Linked DNA regions of Medicago truncatula. The protein of the gene in region 1 binds, or shares a complex with, the protein of each later gene. Links are inferred from orthologs where the notes say so. Each region holds a gene or a part of one and is shown on either strand. Other genes may lie near its edges.

Evidence for each region.
Region 2: the proteins of E3 ubiquitin-protein ligase COP1 (region 1) and transcription factor HY5-like are in contact, whole or in part, in a crystal structure (PDB 6QTT), measured with the Arabidopsis thaliana proteins. The link is inferred for Medicago truncatula from reciprocal best matches to the Arabidopsis thaliana genes COP1 and HYH. Residues at the interface, in NP_180854.1 of Arabidopsis thaliana: Ile373, Ser375, Tyr441, Trp467, Asp484, Lys505, Ala506, Asn507, Cys509, Ala526, Asp527, His528, Lys550, Ala551, Ser553, Thr568, Lys593, Asn594, Phe595, Phe646, Ser648; in NP_850605.1 of Arabidopsis thaliana: Leu28, Leu29, Met30, Val31, Pro32, Asp33, Met34.
Region 3: the proteins of E3 ubiquitin-protein ligase COP1 (region 1) and cryptochrome-1 are in contact, whole or in part, in a crystal structure (PDB 6QTW), measured with the Arabidopsis thaliana proteins. The link is inferred for Medicago truncatula from reciprocal best matches to the Arabidopsis thaliana genes COP1 and CRY1. Residues at the interface, in NP_180854.1 of Arabidopsis thaliana: Ile373, Ser375, Val391, Lys422, Leu423, Ser424, Tyr441, Trp467, Asp484, Asn507, Cys509, Ala526, Ala551, Ser553, Thr568, Lys593, Asn594, Phe595; in NP_567341.1 of Arabidopsis thaliana: Glu544, Asp545, Gln546, Met547, Val548, Pro549, Ser550.

The regions. Positions count from the first base shown.
Region 1 is NC_053046.1:37,990,171-37,997,733, reverse strand, and holds the start of E3 ubiquitin-protein ligase COP1, read right to left. Parts: upstream 3,018-7,563; 5' UTR 2,894-3,017; coding exon 2,576-2,893; intron 1,687-2,575; coding exon 1,609-1,686; intron 1-1,608. UniProt on the Arabidopsis thaliana protein: E3 ubiquitin-protein ligase that acts as a repressor of photomorphogenesis and as an activator of etiolation in darkness.
Region 2 is NC_053048.1:27,045,240-27,052,779, forward strand, and holds transcription factor HY5-like, read left to right. Parts: upstream 1-4,528; 5' UTR 4,529-4,665; coding exon 4,666-4,780; intron 4,781-5,755; coding exon 5,756-5,951; intron 5,952-6,894; coding exon 6,895-7,051; intron 7,052-7,171; coding exon 7,172-7,219; 3' UTR 7,220-7,413; downstream 7,414-7,540. Other genes in the region: probable LRR receptor-like serine/threonine-protein kinase At5g48740, read right to left, coding at 1-49, 581-1,121, 1,522-1,597. UniProt on the Arabidopsis thaliana protein: Transcription factor that promotes photomorphogenesis in light. Acts downstream of the light receptor network and directly affects transcription of light-induced genes.
Region 3 is NC_053046.1:28,059,075-28,066,537, forward strand, and holds the start of cryptochrome-1, read left to right. Parts: upstream 1-4,451; 5' UTR 4,452-4,797; coding exon 4,798-5,116; intron 5,117-5,748; coding exon 5,749-5,967; intron 5,968-7,034; coding exon 7,035-7,463.

The sequences.
Region 1 (7,563 bases):
TTCAGAAAACTACACGGAGTTGTCAAAATGGTGGGTCTTGCACTGGTGTTCTACTTATTGTGGTTGGGTGAAGGTGGGTCTGGTTACATTCACAAATCAAGGCTATAGACTATAGTAGACCCACGACTCTGCTCCAATAACCCAACCAGATTCACAATCACGAGCACAGCCACCAAGAACTCACCACTCGCCCCATAACAAAATCCACTATACATTGTTTTTTTTTGTTTTTTTGTTTTTAATTTTTTTCCTTTAGGTTTGGTTCTGTACTGTCTCTGTCAAACATGAAAGAGGGTAAAGGAAAAATGATGCAAATTGTGGTATTATTGTTTATGAGGTGCACTTTTCCATTAGAACAGAGAATGATGGCCCTTGTTCTCCTCTCACATTAGGCTTCAAAATAAATTGTTTTCCTATTTATTGGCACGGACGGTCGGTTGATAGAAAAGGCAGGAGAGGAGGAGAAAAAAGTAGCATGGGAAACAGTGACTTGCAATTTAAAATAGTATTATTCTTAACCATCTACTTTGATCTAACGCCTACTGTTTTAATTAAGGCTTAATAGCAGTTTTAGCCCCCTAACTTTCTCAAAGTTGCGATTTTGGTCCCCTAAGAAAAAAAACTGCAAAACCGCCCCCTAAGTTTTGCAACTGTAGCAGTTTTGGCCCCCCAAAGCCAATTTTTTGTAATAAAAATAAAAATAACATGTGGCACCTCACTTAGAGTGCCACGTCAGTGTAGACCGAGTCAAATTGGTCTTGGGGGCCAAAACTGCCACAGATGCAAAACTTAGGGGGTGGTTTTGTAGTTTTTTTTTCTTAGGGGGCCAAAATTGCAACTTTGGAAAAGTTAAGGGTCTAAAACTGCTATTAAGCCTTTATTTAATCATCTCAACAAATGAATGACGTAAATTAATGAATCAGATTATATTTCCTCTTACAAGAAACTGGCACTGCAGGCAATACAGCATTCCTCCCTTAAACTTTAGATTAGAGGCCGAGAACAGGGGAACTATTAGTATCATTCTCTTTCGTTATCTTTTCTGGAACATCAAAACTTCTTGTAGAATTATATTCATAATTTAGTGGAACGTGAACTGCGCGATCAACGGCCTGCTATTGCTTTATCAAAAAACAGAAGAAGAAAAACAGCCTACTATTGCAACAAAAACCTCTCACTGTTGTACAATTAGTATGGTAAACAAAGGAATTACGACAGTTAAAAGTTAATCCAGTTTTGTTTAACCACCCCTGTTAAACCCATACATATCATGTCAAGTACAGTGAAGCACTAACACGGATACCGGATACGACAATGATACCGACACATAGACGCCGGTAATAATTTGAAAAATGGAATTGATACAGTGTAACCACATACATGTTGTATCAGTGTTGGATACAGACATGTGTCATACACTGGACTCCGAAATGCAGATGTTACATAGGTCATGTATTCCACATTGTACTCAAAACGAAATATTCATTGTTTGAAATAAAACTAGAAGCAAAAATGAATTATTAAGTAAAACAAGATCAACAACAACAAAGGTATAAGTCACCACAAAACAAACTGCAAACCAATACAGGTAGCAAGAGTACAACCAACCTTTTGTATCGCCTGCCGGAAATGCTCCACGGGGGAAGCAGTCTTCGATATTTGACGATCCGACGTCTTTTTTAGTAGCTACAAATTGGTACAGAAACCGTTAACAATGAGCTAGAAACCGAATTCATTCATAAAACAAGCAATTTCCTGGGTGTTAGGCTCTATTTGGGTAAACAGTTTATTTGCAACTTATAGCACAAGCACTTATCATTATAACTGCTTATGTATAAGCTTACATTAGCAAAAGATAAAATAAAGTTAAATTGTTTTTCTATATGCTATTTCCATAAGCTATATGGAGAACTTACTAAAATAAGCCGAAAAAAGCTTATGAAAATTGTCAGAAAGTTGTTTTTATAAGTTCTCCAAAACATTCTCATAAAACTAATACCAGTAGAGAAGCTCAGATAAGTCAATCCAAACAGGCATAAATCTAATCTCAAACACAATTCCAAAACCGAAATATCACAATTCAAAATGCAAAATATCAATTAATCTCTAGCAATTAAACAACAAGCATTGTGAAACCGAATTCATTCATATGTTTGGAAAACAACTTAACTTGTAGCTTATAGTATAAGTGATTATCATAATAAGTGCATATGTATAAGTTATTTCTGCAACAAAAAATAAAATAAGGTTAAATTATTTTCACATAAGCTATAAGCTGTTTTCATTTGCTATATTGGAAAACTTACAAAAATAAACTGAAAACAGCTTATGAACGTGTAGTAAACTGTTTCAAAAGTTTTTCCAAGCAGTCTCACAAGTGTTTATGTCATTAGATAAGCTCAAATAAGTCAATCCAAACAAGCCTCAAGTAGTTTCTAAATCTTAATCTAAACGCAATTCCAAAACCGAAACATCACAATTCAAAACGCAAATTATCAATTAAACACTAGCAGTTACTAAATTCATAGCGAAGAACACATGAACACGAATTGCGATTGTGATTACGATTGCGAACCTTATCGAGTAAGAAATTGGGAAACAAATTACTATTGGTAAGGTAATGACCACAGCAAGGACAATCACTTTTATTCCGAAGATGAGTAATAATGCACATGTAACAAAAGCTATGACCACAAGATGTAAGAAACGCGTCTTTGATAATCTGCATACAAATCGGACATAGAAAGTCTTTATCTAATTCCGTCATAGTTGCGATCGGGAAATTGTCTCCACCGGCGATGTCGCCGGTGACGGTTACGGTGGTGGAGAGGTTTTTGGATGGTTCGGGTTTGACGACGGCGGGAACGAGTGGTCCGACGGAGTGTTCTTCCATGGTGTGATGTGAGGTTTTTGAGATGAAATGGTTTTGATGCGTGTGGTGGTGATTTGAAGAGAAGCGGGTTTAGAGTGGAAGAAAGTGGGTCCAGGAATGTGATGTTTGTGAGGGTGAGATATTTCCACGTGATTGATTTGATGCTATAAGCTACATCACAAAATGCTGGCCTCTTATGAATTATTGTTAATTAATGATGGAGAAAATATGTCTTCTCTCCGTCCTAAAATGTAAGTAAAAATTAATCAATAGAAGTTAGTGTATTTTGTGGTGGTCGGGGTTAAAACCTCTTACATTATATATAGTATATATTGTCTTTATCAACTGAGCTAAGTTTACGTGATGACGTGATTTAATTCATGTTTTGGAATGACATCTGGTTGTCATTATTGTATAGGAGTAGATGAACATACATAACTTCACATGGTATAATGCATGACAATAGAATGTTGAGCAAGCACTTTTAGATATGTATGTGTGGACTGTGGTATGAATCTAACAAAGAAATTTGGTCAATGAGAAGATTTTACATCATCAAGATGCGAAGTGCAATACTCTCTAGAATACAGGTCAAGATCCTCTCCTTAAGGTAATCTAAAATGAGATCGTCTCCTATAATACATATCTACTTACATTGCATTCTTACTAATCTAAAATTATTGAGTTTCTACTTAAGGTAATCATGTGTTCATAGAAGGAAATTTGAAACCAGAATGGGTTGTTTGATTAGATAGGAATAAATATGGGAAGCGATGAATGAGAAGTATGGTTCTTCTACCTCTTATCCCATCCACCATTGGAATCTCTCATGCTTTCATTTAAACAAACACGTTCTTAACTCTTAAGAATTTCCCCACCAAATTACCTTAGCTTATGTCATTGCACTTAACGGCTTCCATGTTGATATCCATTTTTTAAATTCAACCATGTGTTTTCTCATGCATAACAAATTGATGAATATATTGATACATGTCTCATATACAGATTTCGTACCATATGGAGTACCACATGTTGAAAAAATGAAATATAATTATCATTAAGTAGTAAATCAAAGAGAAATATTAGCACAAGTAAATTGACTCTCAATAAAACAAAATAGAGTATAAGGAAAATAGTGATTGTGTCTTTCTAACCTCCATACCTACAATGTAGACTTGCTGCTTCAACTGTTGCAAACCATAAAATAATCCGAACAAAAGAAACGTGTCTAAAAAATTTTAGTAAAAACAATAATATAAAATAATTACAACTTTAAAATAAATTACAAAATAAAAGGTGTAACTACTAAAAATTTACAACATAAGAACACTTTTTTTTTAACATAAAAAAACACTTGTGACCACATACATAAGTGATGCTAGTTGTTTACCTCACTCCGACCGTACCAATTTAATATGTCCCCAAAGATGATGTTATCTAAGATAAGAGGAGTATCTCTTCGACAATGTGATTGGGTTTTTCCTAAGGTTGATAGCTTGTTTGGTTTTTCTCTCATTCTATTCGAGGGAAAAATACGCACCTTAGATTGTTTGTAATGACTTTAAACTTTCGAAAATACTTCTATTGAAAATTACGATTAGAACATAGCAATTGTAAATCATAACATTGAATTTCAATTTTAATCTTATGATATCGAATTTGTACGGTGATTATAATCAGAAGATCGGTTATGTTTTTAAAAGTGATGGTGATTGACGATTGTGTTGATGGGAATGCTTAAAAAGCATATTTCATGAGCTATTTTAAGCATATCAATAACTTCATCCAGGCATAACATAATTTACCTGCAAAGGTATATTGAAAACGGTTCCTAACTACCATTGACAAAATCTCGAACAATCCCTGGCTACCGTTCACAGGTGAACGGTTCGTAACTCCTAGTGATGATATTTTTGAAAGTTTTAGGTGTTTGTGAGTAATCCAAGGTGTTTAAAAGCAATTTTCATACGAGCGAAGGCTACATGCAGAAACTGGGCTGTTAAGGGAACACTTCGGTGGATAAGAGGGCCCATAAATGTTTTTTTTTTTCATTTATAATTTTTTTTTTGACAGGAGATGGTTTTTTCATTTATAAAATGTAAGTTATTTGTGTTAAAAAATGTCTCTCTTCATTTATATTCTTACTTCGGTGGATAAGAGGGCCCATAATTTTTTTTTTCATTTATAAATGTAAGTTATTTGTGTTAAAAAATGTCTCTCTTCATTTATATTCTTTACTATACTTAAAAATGACTAAAACAAAAACCCTCTCTAATAGATAAAAAAATATTTTGACAAAAAAATACATAAAAAATATTATATTCAATTTACTTGTTTTTTACTTAATTGTATAGCGTGGACAGGAGTATGATTTTTCACATGGTGCCTTTAAAAAAAGAGCGGGTCCTCTAAAAAAGTGATGTAAAATATATAAATTTCAAATGAAATGGCTTAAAGATTTTCACAATATAATTTGATTTTCACATTACAGTAAATATTACACTGTTTTTAAATATCATTTCCAACACAAAATGGAAAAGAAAAGTCAGCTTCAGGTCTTCATATTGAGTTTTGTTAAAATAAAATTTTAGTTTTGATGTCTAATGTTTTTATAAAAATAAAATAAAAATTTCACATTCATAAAGAAAGAAAACAATCATCACTTAATATTATATTACTATTGTACTGATATCTATATATGTTTATCATTAAAGTGAATTTTATAAATAAAAATTCGAATGATATCAAGTTTCTCTTTTTTAAAGGAAGTGAAATCAAGTTTCTCAAATTAGTTATGATATAAGTTTAAAATGAATTTTAGTCTCCATGTAGCTTTCATAGAGACTACATTGTTTATTACCTATTGGGTAAAGGGGGTAAAAACACAATTTTTTTATACAAAATTTGTAAAATAGAGATTAAAATTTTATTTTTTTTTTAAACAAGAGATTAAAATTAAATAAAAGTTAAGTAAATAATAAAATTAATAAAATAATATATATATATATATATATATATATATATATATATATATATATATATATATATATATATATATATAAACACACACAGCAAAAGCAAACAATTTCTATGCCCAAATCCGCCTTTGAACACAAAATCAGGACCATAAAAAACTTAAAGATTAATTTCTTAAACCCACTATCACATTGCTCATTGATAGCATTTGTTCCAAACAATTTTTGTGGTTTGTCATAACTCCATTGATATGAGTCTTTGAGACATGAGTGGAGCCACTTTCCATGAAACTGTAGCATTTCCCTTTCACTGGGATCAATTAAATAATGCTTTGACTTTGACCAAGTTGTTGATTCTGCTTTCCACTTAAATGTCAACTTTTTAGTTTGGGAGTATTCTACTTGGAGCAAATCTTACTTCCTCCGTTTTAAAATATAAGTAAATTTTACTTTTTAGATTCATTCAATTAACGATGTAAAATATAAATAAATTTTATTTTTTAAGTTCATTCAATTAACGATGTATGTAAAATTTCTTATATTTTAAAACGGATGGAGTATTTGATCACAAGTATAAATATTTTTTTAACAAGTATAAATAAAAGATATTTAAACACACATACAAATAATAAAAGTATTAGTCATATTATTTATTTATTATTATTTTTTCATTTGTGTATGTTTAAATATTTTTCATTTGATGTTGACAAAATAAGATTTACCTAGTACTATAGAAAAAGGGAAAAGGGTGAGAAAACTCAAAAGTTTTCAAAAGAATCGAGTAAATGCAATGGATGTCCCTAAAAAAATAGTAAATGCAATGGATCTGAAATAGGTGGTTAGCTTTGTGAAAATTCTAAGATGACTCCGTAAAAATGTGTGTATAATGGGCAATTTCTTGTCTGATGTTTATGCTTACGTTAGGTGTACTTGGATTAGGTTTTTTAGTTCTTTTTTTAAAATTCTAATTTAATGTTTTTTTGTTACAAAGCTAAAGAGAAAGAAGTAGAAAGAAAAAGAAAAAAAAGAAAAAAAAAAGAGAGAAATTTAGCTCTACATAACTAAGTTTCCATAGAGTCTGTAAAGAGGAGGTCTGAGATGCCGGTTGGATGGAAGAGATGGACCATAAGATCAATGCTAGAAGAAGCTTCAAGTTAAGGATGTTTACACAACTATTTTCTTAGAGAATATGAGTGATGCAAACATGTCAATATATATTAGTGAAGAAGATCTTAGTATACTTGTGAAGCCTTGGCGTTTGATCATGGAGTATATCGATGGAATGAAGAGAATCAATGAAACAAATAATGTCATGGTAATCCAATTGCTTAGTCAACAAAGTCTTTGATGAATAGCATGGAGCTAAGCATGAAGAATATTAAATTTCTGAAAGAAATCCCGAGAAACTAGAGATCCATATCACGGAAGGATGATGAAGCAAACCATAAAATCCAACTTTGACACGGTTGCCAAGACATGATGCAATCAACATTAAGAATGGTGCAAGAGGAATTGAAGGAATTCCATTTGATCCGTCTATGTTCTTGTCTCGTAGAGAACTAGAAATGCAAGAGATAAAGATAAGAGTTATATTACGAGCTTCCATGATAAGACGGTAATAAAAGATAAAAGCATTTGAGAAACAAAAAGAATTCTCATTTCGTCAAGACCACCAAACACCTGCAACAGATAAGTTAGAGCCGAGGGATAATGTGT
Region 2 (7,540 bases), on another chromosome or scaffold:
GAAACTTCTATCACTGTTCCATATTCTGTCATATGGATCCATAGGGTACCTGTTTTTTAGAAGCTAAACCATGTTATCAAATCGAAATTCAAATCATGAACTAGAAGACCTATTTTCTGAATTGTGAATAGAATCCTCTTACGAATCGTAAGATACATTACCGATAAAAATATGACATTTTAAACTAAAAACATGTGACAGCTATTATAAGTTGATATATCATATTCGAACCTTAAAATAATTGAAGATTTAAGTCATAAATCAAATGACAAAAGAAAAGTGTCTGACTAAAAAAAGTTGACAAAAAAAAGTGCCTGACTATACTAAATTTAGGTAACGATTCATTACAGTGAAGTGAGATTCATCGTAGTGAATCGGAGTTCATCGTAATGAATCAGGATTCAGCATGAGATTTTTCCGAAATAGTTGCACACTAGAGATTCATAGTGATTGGACTCGGTTTTGCATCGAATCGAGATAAAACTCAAATGCATAATAAGATACTGCTAACCATGAGCTAAACCATAACTGTTCATAATAAAATTAGTTGCATAATTAGAAATCAATCTATGGTTCATACCTTATAGACTCATTGATGTGTCCACAATCAACTCTATAACTCATCCTAAGCAATTTATTTGGAAAATTTTCCTTGCCCTTTATGTAGGAACCTTTAGGAAGTGGTCTAATTTCAAGTAAAGAAATTATAGGAGAACCACCACTTGGAATTGAATTCAAACAGCATGCCAATGTATCCTTATTGACTTCCCATAGAAACTCTTCTATCCATGGATCCTTTCTAGCTAGATTTATCTTAGCAGCAATGGCTGTCCCAAGAGAAACATAAAAAATAGGCGGTTTTCCAAGTCCATCATAGTTCTTGTACACAAATTTTGCTCTAACAAGAATCAAACTAGTGGCATTGCTCATTGGTATCCGATAGCATGCGCGACGTTTGGAATGAGGGAAGAACCGAGCTGAGACATTTGTTGACAAGGAACCGTCATTGTAATTGATGGTGGTTGTTTTTCCTGTGGTTATGTAAGGAGTGTCTGAGAACCATGAAATGTTTGATGAATCATTGAAGCTTGTTGTTCCACCACATGATAGACTCAAGAAACCTGTTACATGAAATTCAACAAGAAAATAGTGAAAACTACTTTCATGTTTGTAATCTAATAGGCTTTGTGAAAGATATTAATATTCAACAAGTATTGAACTTAGAAAAAATGGCCATGAAATCATGAGTATATAAGTTAGTGATGAACTTTTCCCACCCTCTAAGATACTACGGATGCACACATTCGGAAAAAACGTAGTTTTTGTGTTGTCCAGATGTGTACTTCTGAACAAAAATACTGTTTCTCCTTTGAAAATGCACACTCTCAGGTCCGAGGTCAATACCACCAGGTCAACCCAAGTATTGAGGATGGACAAAGATTTTTCTATAAGTTAAGATTGAATAATGAAAAAACATGCTTAGAAAAATGTCATTATCTTATAAAGTTGTATAAGACATACCATCTTGTCCAGAGAAAGCAACAAACAAGAAGCTATGAAGCAAAAAGAAGATAGTCCATGAATTTCTTGAATCCATGAATTGTGATGCATACTATAAATTCCAAATGTTGTGTTTATCTTTTACAGAATCAAAGGAAGAAAAGTGTATATAAATAAAAGTAGTGTGACTAGTGTCATAGTTGTGTGTAATGATGAGAAAGAACAATTGTTACAACATTATATGAAAGAAACATGATAAAGCTTTAAGGAAGGGAAAAGAACACTAAGTGTAAATTCAGGAAAGTGTCTTGGTTTGGTAGAGTGATCAAGTTGTTGAGCATAGAGATGGAGAAAGGAAAAGTGCATAGTTGAGGTTATGATGATTAAAGGATTGTAGAGTCATTGAAGATGGGAAAGTTATTATATTATTTTAATTTGTTTCTTTAATGTAAGCTTTAACTAGATTTTCCTAGTACTTCTAGTGCAGTGTTCCTTTTGGAAACATTGGGAAAAAAATACCTTCCATATCTAGTTTGAATAGTGTTTTTTTTACATTTTTTATATTTTAGCAAATGAAGTTTGAATAGTGTTATTTATAAAAAATAAATTAAATTTTCTTTCAAAAAAAAAAATTTAATTTTTAATATAAATATAGACGTCTCAAAGGAGTGGTCCAATGATTTAGGTTGAAACATTGAAAGAGTTATATGTAGAAGGTGGAGGTTTAAATCTACTTTTAACATTTATATATTAGGATATACACCCTCCGATCACTATTATAAGTAAAAACCCAATTGTTTGTTTCATTGAATAACCAATGAATCTTGTTTATAATATTGACTATATACATCAATCATTTTTTTTGAGCAATGTCATCAATTATTCATGAAACCCAACAAGTAAATTTTTGTCTATAATAATGACTAAAGAATACATAGGGTTAATGGAGATCTCAAATACAATGTGGCAACAATAACATTTGATTAAGGTTACATATTTAATCAAACTCATGCTAAAAAAGTTGTTTAAGATTTTTTATAAAAATTAAAAATCATTTAGTTAATGCATCTTGATACAAAAATATCCTTTTTTTTATTTCAGAAATTATTTTACCAATTTATATTTTCAAAGCAAAAAAGAGTATACATTTCTACAAACAATTTAAAGATATAATTGAAACAAATATAAATTATATTTTTGGTCTATAAAAGAAGTATAAACTATTACTTCTGAAGGCTACCTAATCTTCAAATTCAATGCTTAGAGTACAAGTCTTGATTAACATTAGTGGTACTTGATTGGGTTAAATCATTCATGTAGAAAATAGGTCCTTCGTATCAAAGTAACTTCTAAAGCACAATTAATGCATTGGCCCTTCATATTAACAAATAATTATTGGCTAAATCATGTTTATAGTTTGACCCAGATTGGTAAATTAAATATTTTTATCAGGATTGGAGTGTATTTGTATACTATATTTATAGTTTTAGCTTTTAAGTTAAGAATAAAGATCGGTAGACACCCTTAATGTGTATATCTCTTTGTGTTACTCTCGAAAATTTCAGTTAACCAAATATATGGTCGGTGTGACCATATTTTTTCAGTTGTGTGACCACTATTTAGAAGCTGAAAAATGTGGTCACGCAACTAAAATACGCGTGACCAATATTTTTCCACTTAGTTAACCAAATAAATTCTGAAAAAAAAATAGTGGTCACTCAACCAAAAAAATGTGGTCAAACAGACTATATATTTAGTTAACTGAAAATTTTCAAAGTGATACAAAGGAGTGTGCATATTAAGGATATCTACCTATCATTGCTCTTAAGTTAAACTCTGCCAATCACAGGTTTTGTTCCACAACTAAAGATGAAGGACATTCAAGTGTCTATGCATGGTACCTCACACTAGATTTTTTTGATGTACCCATTGTTGTGTTTATAAATTCGAAGCATTGCTATGAAGACATTATTGGGTAAAATTATGTAAGATTTTTAATTTGGAAATTTAGATTCAAAGAAAAAGAAGTTATTGGAGAAAGAAAAAGGAAGAATGTGACATGTCTATATGAGTTATCCCAATAGTAAATCCATCATATTTTACTTCGTTAGCTTTTGTTTTACTCAACCTTAGCATGTTCGAATATAAAAAAATTTAAAATTTATATTTGATCAATGCATGGTAGGATTGGTGAAATATGTTTTAGCTTAGAGTGAAAAAATTCATTACTTTATACAATCATTAATCTACTGAATTATTGTGTCTAGTCGCTTTGTTAATTTTCTTATCATTTTGAAACAAATTGTAGTCGGAACGAGGCAAAGTGATTACAAATTAGAATCTAAGTTAGTGAAATCAACAATATCATAATTAAGCACGATGGAGGTTGTTTAATTTGAAATAAAATTTATTTTTATAAAAGAAAGGTACGGTTGACGGCCGTGGCTGAGTACGAGTTTTGTGTCGAAGCTAGGTGGTTGGTAACGGAGAGTATTCATCATTGTATAAAAAAGAACGTTGAAAACTACTCTCTCCGTTTCAAAATATAAGCAAAATTCACTTTTTTAGTTCATTCATTTAATAATGTATGTGGTCTATACATGTTAGATAATGTATTGCTAACACTAATCATGCAAAAACTAATTTTGAAGTTGGAACGTTTACATGACTATAAAAACTAAGTCGTGGTAAAGCTATATAAGAGTTGTATGTTCTCATACCCGGTTTTAAATATAAATAAAAGGAAACAAATATAAACAAAAGAAAAAAAATTAAACAAAATTGATCTATATGATTAAAAATTTGAACCATATGCATCAACTTTGTTTATAAATGATTGTTATTTTGTTTATTTGTAAAAAAGAAAAGATTTTCGTTTTAAAAATATTTAATATGAAATAGTAATTGGACGTATTGTGTAAAATGAGGCTACAGAAACACGTAAAACACAGAAGAAAGGTTTGGTTGAATGCACATCAACGTGTTCATTTCTGAACCAAAACTCTTTTAGGCCCCATCACTCTTTCAAAGACAATGTTTCATCATGAAAACATTTCAACACAACCCAACATTGCAAGTGCATTAACATGTTACACACACACACATTTCTTTTTTGTTACTTGAAATTTCTCTGAGGTATCATAAACAAATCATAGAAAACAAAACATGTCTCTTTCAAGAGCCAATGATACTGAGATGAAGGAATCTGCAACAACAGGAGCACCTTCATCTTCATCTTCTTCATGGAATAGGTTACCTCCTATGCCTCCAAATAGATTTGGTAAGTGTCATTTTCAATTTTTTTTTATTATTTTATTTTATGCTAAAGTTTTTTTTGACTCATATTTTATCCTCAAGTTAAGGTCTTTTATTTTATTTTATTTTTGACATAATCCTAAGTCAAGAGTTTATCAATATGTTATTAAAAAAATATGATAAACTAATCCAAAGTCCAAACATACAAAGATTCTTCATAAAGTTTGTCAAAACAAAAAAATATTAAGTATATTGTTTTTTTTTTTTTTTTCATTAAGTATATTGTTGGATTCCGATCATTTAAAAACAACTTGTTTCATGAAAAGTAAAGGTATATATATATATATATATATATATATATATATATATATATATATATATATATATATATATATATATATATATATATATATATATATATATATATATATATTGTCATGTAGTAAAATTTAATTGTGAAGAAGTGGAGTGTCCAAGGTTCGAACCCCGATCCCTAAATATAAAATACAATATCCCTACCAACTGAGCTAAACTCATGGATAGTTGGTCCATATATTAAAGGGCCCTTATAATATACACGCGCATATATATATTAAATTGGTCTAACATTCTACCCAATTATACTTTCATAGCATCATTCTTTTTAGATATGATTGAATCTGTATAAACCGTTTTTATATCAACAATTTGACAAATTTAGATTATCCACAATATCATATCAGGGAAGTTTATCCACATTCATATGATCGATACATCAATAATCATTTGATTGAGATGAAATAGTATAGATTTCAAACTTATTTTATCAATACAAAATTGTTACTTTTAAATTCTTTAACATGTAATCTTAGTACACAAGTTAGTTATTATAACTCTTTAAATTTCATTTGACATTGTATGCAAATTCAACTTAGTCCATATTAAACGTGACATGTTTTGTTTTTACAAATACTACTAAATATGTCATGCTAATAAGTCATGATTTTTTTACAAATTCCAGAAGATAGCGATGAAGATCTATTTGAAGTTCCGGATGTGGAAGGTACACAATGTCAAAGTGTCCATTCTGAGTTAACAAATCAAAATAGTAACCACAATCAAAGCAATGTAACTGATGCTCAACTTCAAGCTGGCTTCCCCGGAAAGCGCCGCCGCGGAAGAAACCCGGCAGACAAGGAACATAGACGTCTCAAAAGGTAAGGGACATAAGTTAACACAAATTTTAACTATACCTTACACCCTATAGTCACTATTATAAACAAATAATCACTTTTTAAATTCATTGAATAACTGATGTATTTTGTATATAATATAGACTTTTGAATTAATTTCTACATTAAATTATCAAACTTGTCACTAAGAAGATTTGGATACATATTGCAATTAAGGTGAGGTTTAGCATGGGAAAGCTATTTTTTTTCCACCATGGGAAAGTTAGTTTTTGACCATTAAATCAAACCAAGAACACATCCTTATCATACTCCCTCATCACTAGATTTTGTAATTTTATTATTTTAAAAACAAAAAATATATTTCAAAATTAAAATAAATATTTAAAAATAAAAAATAAATTTAAAAATATGGAAATTAATTTTCCAAAATTTTAAAAAATATAAATAAACTTTTTGAAATAAACTTGTTTTCAAAAAATTTAATTATGATTTTCGAAGATTAAATTTTTGTAATTTTCAAAAATTAATTTCCATATTTTTTTAGAATTTTTTTATTTCGAAAAAAATGTAAAAATTTCTGAAAATATTTTTTTTTGTATCAATCAGACTTTTATTTTTAAATTTATTTTTTTTATTTTTAAATGATTATTTTAATTTCGAAATATATTTTTTATTTTTAAAATAATAAAATCTAGTGATGAGGGAGTATGATAAGGATGTGTTCTTGGTTTGATCTAATGGTCAAAAACTAACTTTCCCATGGTGGGAAAAATATAGCTTTCCCATGCTAAACCTCACCTGCAATTAAAATGTTATTCAAGAGTAATTAAGTTATTGAACTCAAACGGTTCAAGAAGAATCATTCATAATACTTAATTAGAACAATTTTAGTCCAATTTTACATATCTTTCAGCCGAACTGCAGACTATACTATTTGAAACTAATAAATGACTTATATTACAAATAGGTTGCTAAGGAATAGGGTCTCGGCCCAACAAGCCCGTGAAAGAAAAAAACTGTACGTGAATGACTTAGAATCAAGAGCTAAAGAGTTTGAAGATAAGAACTCCAATTTAGAAGAACGTATCTCAACTTTGACCAATGAAAACACCATGCTCCGAAAGGTAACATAATCTGAACTAAATATGTTTTAACAAATTGTTTGTCACTTACTATTTACTATAGAATTATATAACATCATGTTGATCAAGTGAAAATTTATTCTATGATATTTACTTGTACAGGTTCTTATGAACACTAGACCCAAAGTTGATGAGAGCAATGAAGGTTAGACAGGGATATAAGGTTCTTCTAAATTAGGGCATTGTTTATGAGGTAGTATTATATACCTCACTCACATGTGTACCACTATTACTTATTTATAAAATTGTGTAATTCATTATGAACACTAGTATTATTTCCCAAAAAAAACTGATAGTTTACATTTTTACTTTTAAATTGTGTAATTCATCAATTATATTTAAAATGTGCAATTGCTTGATAAAAGTAAACAAGCCCAAGCCCAATAACTCTGATCGCTTCATTTGACCAACAAAAATTCCAATTTGTTGAGGATTCATGGTCATCCATCGGTTAAACTCTTAATCCCATTA
Region 3 (7,463 bases), about 9.9 Mb from region 1:
AAGTCAATATAACAATGACTCTATTGTAGCAAGTAGAAATAATGTGACCCATATTCGTCAACCACTTGTCTTCCGGCGCAATTAGAGCTGTCAAAACGGGCAGGCCCATATGGGCCGGCCCGTTTAGCCCGAATAAATATAGGGCTTGGGCCGAAAATATTGAGCCTGAATTTTGATAGGGCTTTTTAGCCCGGCCCTTAAAAGCCCGGTACCCGTTAGGGTTAGACCGAATGGGCCGCGGGTAGCCCGTTAGCCCGCATAACAAAAAAAAATTCTATAAATTATATATATTTTTCAAATAATTATTTACTTAGTTGATTATCAAAGTAAAAAACAAAAATGAAAATTCAATGAATTAACACAAATATAAATGTAATATAAAATTATATTTATTCATTTCGTTATTTATAGTTTTAAAGATCGAATATATAAATATCTATAACCATAACATATCTAATTTATTTAAAATCATTTTCCTCGTCGTTTTAGTTTACGACGTTTGTACGAAAATGATTACAATTTACTTTTGTGCTAGACATTATTTAAACATATTAAAAATATTATTTATAAAAAAATTATAGTAGTGTTTTATAGTACTTTTTTAAAATAAAAAAATATATATAATTTTTAATACGGGCCGGCCCGTTTAGCTCGCGGCCCGTGTAGGGTCGGGCTCGGGTAGTATATTTCAAGCCCGTTTTGTCAACTGGGCTTTTTGGCCCAGCCCGCTAAAGCCAGAAGCCCGCTAGGGCCGGGCCGCCCGTTTTGACATCTCTAGGCGCAATACCACTTCTACTTGTTGGAGGGTGTAAACCATCCAAGATAAGTTTAAAATGCTTCTCGGTACCATATATCGGCAAATAGTCACTCTTATGATTTTTCAACTCATTAATAAGTGCATGGCGAACCAAAACATGATTATCCTCATCCGTTCCCAAGTGCCTAGCTATGACCCAGAATCCACAATTATCATCCCCCTTAACATTCACAATGTCTTCAATGTAAGGTCTCATGATCATTGGAATTTGTGAAATGTATGGTATATTCGAATAAGGTTTTGGTTTTGAAGTAGGTGTTGAAACTTGTGAGAGGGAGTAAGTGCCAAGACGTGCACCTTTACTCTTTGGAACATTACTATTGGCTTTTGAGCATTGACTATCAGGATTTTGAGAATCAATACTCTCTCGCCTAGAGGGGATTCGACTCGTGGACCTCGTTTTTGGTGTAGACTTCACCCTTTTAGGTGCTCCCTTGGTTACCACTTTTCTCGGAGGTGAATTCAACATTGTGTCCTCCGGAAATACCAGACATAGACTTTATATTAAGGAGAGTTGTGGATTTGTAAGCTCAGTGGGAGTAAATTTATATATCTATTTTAGTGTATCAATTTTATTTTATTTAGTCAACAATGAAATATGTTTGTTATGTTAAACCAATAAAATCTCTAATGAAAATTAGCGATGAAAGATCTTAGGAACACCTCTTTTGTATTAGGCTTTTCGATACTTAGAGATTCCTCTCAAGGTATCATTCAAATATCACAAAAGAGTTATATTAATAAAGTTGAAATGAAATGACATAATTTATGGGTGACATCGAACACCAAGATAATCTCAAATATTGCCCTTTAGAAAATTTATAAATTCTGAAAATCAAGTATTTTTCTATGACTTGGCTATAGAAATATTGTGTATAGTCTTATTTATATGCATTTGGAAATAACTTATATAATCATATTGTTTGGCAGATACTTGAGCAATTCAAAATTTGAATTGTTGAAAAGGCAACCATAAGAATTATTAAAGAGAATAAGAGAGTTTATACTCACACCAGAAATCTAACAATTTAGAGTTCATTAGTGTGTTAGACTATGACTTTTAGATGTCTGTAAATAATAGACATCCTAACTCAGGAAACGGCTGTAAATATTTATGTCACTTGGTTGCATATTGTTAAAGGGTTATTATTGTTATAACTATATTGGTATTGTTTGTGCAAATATTGAATTTAAAAATTTCAGTTTGATCTCAATAAAGACTTTAGTTTGACCAATTGGAAATAGACATGATTTAAAGATCACATTACTGAAATTTTCATGTCACTCATCCATATCGATATATGTCATCAAGTGCATTGATATGGTGGTCCCCGGGGTTCCGTCACGTTATATGTCAATGACGACAACTGCGGTGGTCCTATTATTAATGTATGAGGTGGGCTAGATTGTTGAGTAGAAATCTAAAGATAAATAACATTCAGTCGCGCACCTAAAGAATTCTATTATAATTATTAAGATAAGTAGCACAAGTAGGAGATTGTTGGAATATTTTATTATTTTATTATATTCCATTGTCATTAAGTGGGCAAATATCTTGTAATAATTATATTAACTATTTATCAATTTGGAGCCTTAATAGTGATCAAATTAAGTAACAAGAATGATTAGATTTCTATTTGGATAATTAATTATTTAAAATAATTGATATGAACTCTATGAGTGGATGTTTGGATGGTCCATCAACGGAATATTGAGAAACTTTAATGGCAAATCACACTATAAGAGGTTATGGTCCACGATATACCGTACACGGTAAACTCTCCCTTTTCCATCTGATGAGAACTAGAGGCATAAAGGTACCGATTGAGGAAGTATCAAATCAGCCGCCACCGACTCTATGTTGTGTATTTCAGATCGCGATTTCTCCTCTTTCAGATCGTTGATGTTGAGAGGACTGTCATCAAAGCTTCATTCATATATTCCTAATACCTAATTCTTAATATCTTGATGAATCAAATATGTCGTAGTTTATATCATAATTATGTTCAATGTTTTGTTTGCTTCCACTATTTCATAATGATTGAACATGTTTTATGAAATCTGTTTTTATTTAGGCCTAATCCCAACAAATGAAGGTAGATGATGAATTTTCTAGATTTCATGATGAATGTGATGAATTTTAGGATTGGTGATAAATTCTATCAATTTTTTGACAAAAGTTAACAGCAAATATTTATCTGGCTAACGGAAGTATAAGTTAAAGAACCAAAACATAAGGTTAATAAATTATGCGACCAAAACGAAAACAACAAATAAGTTAATAGACTAAATATCAAATTTAGCAAAAAGAAAATGTACGCATATTTCTCCCCTATTTTTTATTTCCGACACATCCATGCAATCTTCAACAAGATTATTACTAATTGTTGATCTAAATTTGTCTGCGTGTGGTTCTAAAATTTGTTGTCTTACTCTTACCTGGACAACATTTAAAGTCAGTCTTCACTGCGCAAGTAAGCATAAACGACTGACACATAAAAACGACCCGTGAATGGAATCTGAGATTCGTGAAGAGTCGATAGTAGAAGCATAATTCCCACATCCTGGTGAAGAAAAAGAAAATAATATAAGCTAAGTAGTTTGGTTGCAACATATCTATACCAAATCTGATATCTTTCACTTCCCATAACTTGCTGTTCCTTGTAAATCGGCTAGTAAAATTGAAAAATGACTCCTGGAATCAGATGCAACTATAACTTTTTTATCATTATAAATAAATATGATTTTTAGGCATATATAAATACTGCAACAAGACGCAAAATCAAACAACGACGCACAAGATGACGAATAACACAACGCTACACTTAGACGATGATATCATTTATTTATATCGAAAGAAAGATGAAAAAAAATGCATAGAGATAATTTTAGGTCAAAAAAATAACCCTGATCTAACAATCGAATGTTAGACCAAAGCGAAGCCACGTCTAAAAATTACCTTGTGCTCTTTAAGATGCATGTTAGCCCAACAAACATTCGTTTAATTTCTTGAAAAGAAATACCCATTGTTCAATTAGTGATGTATCATAGTACAAACAAAGTAACCACCTCTAATTGTAGGGTAAGGAAGGGAACATGTTATAAATGACTATCTTTAAGGGAACGTTATAATTATTAAACTACAATCAAACAACAATAAACAACGTATCATCTCTTTGTTTATTGTTTCCAAAGAAAAAAATGTTCATTCTTTATTCTGATTAGACAAGAACAAGAACATAAATAAAAGATTTCTGATTCTATAATTAGTAAAAAGAAATCTCCAAAATCTCACGAGATTTTAGGAATATAAAAGAAAGCAAAAAGACTGCACGAACACAGAGTTAGATTGTGTTGGATTGTGAAGTGATGATAATAATGTAGGATACCCATGTGGGTTTCTGAGTTGGAACATGTAAGTATATGCTAAAGAAGAAAATATTTTTTATTTATTTATAATTTTATATTTTATAATTTATATATCTCTAAGGTATAGTTTATGTATCTATCATTTTGTTGATTCTCCATTATGTGTCACACTTGGTATATCAAAAATAGAAGAAACAACTAGAGACGTGGATGTGATTTGTTTTGTTTTGTTGCATGTTATAAGATAATAGAAATATTGAAAAATCTACATAGCATAAAAAAGTTGTGGCTGCAAATTCTCTACAAATTTTCATGTATCCCCCACTCAACCAATCCTCGTCATTTGTTCTAATCTCTCTCTCCTTGGACCTTTGTCTCAGTGTCACTATTTTCTCATTGCAACTTGAGTGAAAAATCAAAAAACAACCAAATTTAGAATTTCTTGGAAAACAAAACTACTCTTAAAGTTATGCTATATTTTTGGAAAAGGATAATTTATTAAACTCTGCATTTTTTTTTTTCATTGTATTTCATCTCTTTATGGCCTAAAATCTTCATCAATATAGAAAACAAATAAAGGGTAGGAAGAAAAACTCCTTTTTTGTGTGAAGATGTCATCAAGTGGTGGTGGATGCAGTATAGTTTGGTTCAGAAGAGATCTGAGGGTAGAGGATAACCCTGCACTAGCAGCAGGTGTTAGAGCAGGTGCTGTAGTTGGTGTTTTTATATGGGCACCTGAAGAAGAAGGACAATATTATCCTGGTAGGGTTTCAAGATGGTGGCTTAAGAATAGTTTGGCTCATCTTGATTCATCTTTGAGAAATCTTGGTACTCCTCTTGTTACCAAAAGATCAACTGATAGTGTTTCTTCTTTGTTGGAAGTTGTTAAATCCACTGGAGCCACTCAAATCTTCTTCAACCATTTATATGGTCAGTTTTTGTTTATTCTTATCTTATCTTAATTTTTGTTACTTTATATGATATTGCATGATTTTGTGCTTTCTGGTTCAATTTCTTTTATATGATTATCCTGTTTCTTTTGTTTTGTATAATTGATATAGCTTTTGATGTCTGAAATAAGATAAGACTAAATCTTCAATTTTGTCTTGTAATATAGAAATATGACAAGTAATCCTTAAATTATTCCCTCAATTGCTTTAAAGGACTAATTTGATGCATTAAAAATGGTTTAGGGATTACTAATTATATTTCTGCAGTTTAGGAACCAAATAAGAGTAAGAGTGATAGTTTAGGAACTAAATTGACGATTTATTCCATATGATACCGAGTTTTTGCTTAGTAATATCGACAACACCATTGCAAACTCTAGAATCCTTGGTAGTTGTAGCAATTTGAGTTGTTAGTTTCCATTATTATTTGGTAATAAACTGTAAAATCTTTCTTTGATTATAATTTCTTCTTTTTCGTATCAGTTTGTGATGTGTATGTCTCTGATAATTTCATTCATATAAGCTGCTTTATAATTTGAGATGATATTTGTTTTGTTTTTTATGGCTGCAAAACTGTGTAGAAATGTTATCATGCAAATTTCTATGTTACAGATCCATTGTCACTTGTAAGGGATCATAGAGCAAAGGAAATTCTAACGGCTCAAGGGATTACCGTACGTTCGTTCAACTCAGATTTATTGTATGAACCATGGGATGTGAACGATGAAAATGGCCAACCGTTCACAACTTTTGATTCTTTTTGGGAAAGATGCCTTAGCATGCCTTATGACCCACAAGCACCTCTTCTCCCACCTAAAAGAATTATTCCAGGTTTACTTTGTTCCTCTCCTTTTTTAGCCTCACTTTTTTTCCGACTTTTTTGACAATAGTTGTTATTTGATTGTTCGCCAGCTGCATGAGTCACAGAACTCTTGTGGTTCTTAGTTTGGATTCTGGAATATTGAACAAATTATCCATACCGAGAAAGGAATACATGCTTTTATCTGTTAAAAAGTTGCTTTTGTAACATAGCAAAAAGATGCAAAGGTATAAGGCAAATTCCTCAGTGGACCACTTTGGATCGATAATTGAAAATTGTCTGAAACATTAACCATGTCTGAGACCGTGACTTAATCTGTGCTGGTTCGACAAAAATAAGAAGAAAAAAATGAATGTCTGTCTCGAAACTCGGCACTTGGCCATGTATACGTCTCAGAGGTGAGGACATGGAGATCACGAGCTTCTATTTTTGGATGATAACGCCGGTTGTCGTTGGTGTTTCAGAAGATTTTCACTTATAACCAAACCATGTACAATCTATGAAAGTGGTCTACTCTAGAGGAGCCACCAAAGTATAATCATATTATTTAACAAGACAGGGTTTTTTTAATGCAGTTACAGATCTATAAATCATTGTGCCTGATTAACTATTAGTCCTTCCAAATTCCAATGTTGATGTATAATGATTTTACAAAAATAAAATTAAATATAAAGGTTCAACACATATGTTACTGAATTTTATAACTTGCTTCTAAGTCATAATTGGGCTAGCCTGCAACTTTTGTGTTTCATTAATTTCAAATTATACCCCTATTTTTCGCTATGAAAATACCATTGCAAGTGTAAGTTTGCATCCAAAAATATGTTTGTTTAAAGAAACTCTACAGATATTCTTAGTTCTTTGATTATTCAAAGTGCCATTAAAGTAAATGAGTGCAACAGAGAGCTGATTAAGGGACTAGCAAAGGCTGTACTTTATATTTATTAAAGAACCAAGTTCATGATCAAAATTTCAAGTACTTGGTAGTTGGTACTTGCCTATTTTATTTGTTGTATTGTCATGTTTCATGTTTTGACTTTAATTTGCATTTCATTAAACATTTCTTGCCATGTTTCAGGTGATGTATCAAAGTGTCCTTCTGATACATTGGTTTTTGAAGACGATTTAGAGAAAGCGAGCAACGCACTTCTTGCTCGAGCATGGTCACCAGGGTGGAGTAATGCAAACAAGGCATTAACAACCTTCATAAACGGTCCACTGATCGAGTACTCTAAGAATCGAAGGAAAGCAGACAGTGCCACAACCTCATTTCTCTCTCCACATTTGCATTTCGGAGAAGTTAGTGTCAAAAAAGTATTCCATCTTGTCCGAATCAAACAAGTCTTTTGGGCGAATGAAGGAAATGAAGCCGGCGAAGAAAGTGTTAACTTGTTTCTCAAGTCAATTGGTCTTAGAGAGTATTCAAGGTACATTAGTTTCAACCACCCTTATAGTCATGAAAGGCCTCTACTTGGACACCTTAAGTTTTTCCCTTGGGTGGTGAATG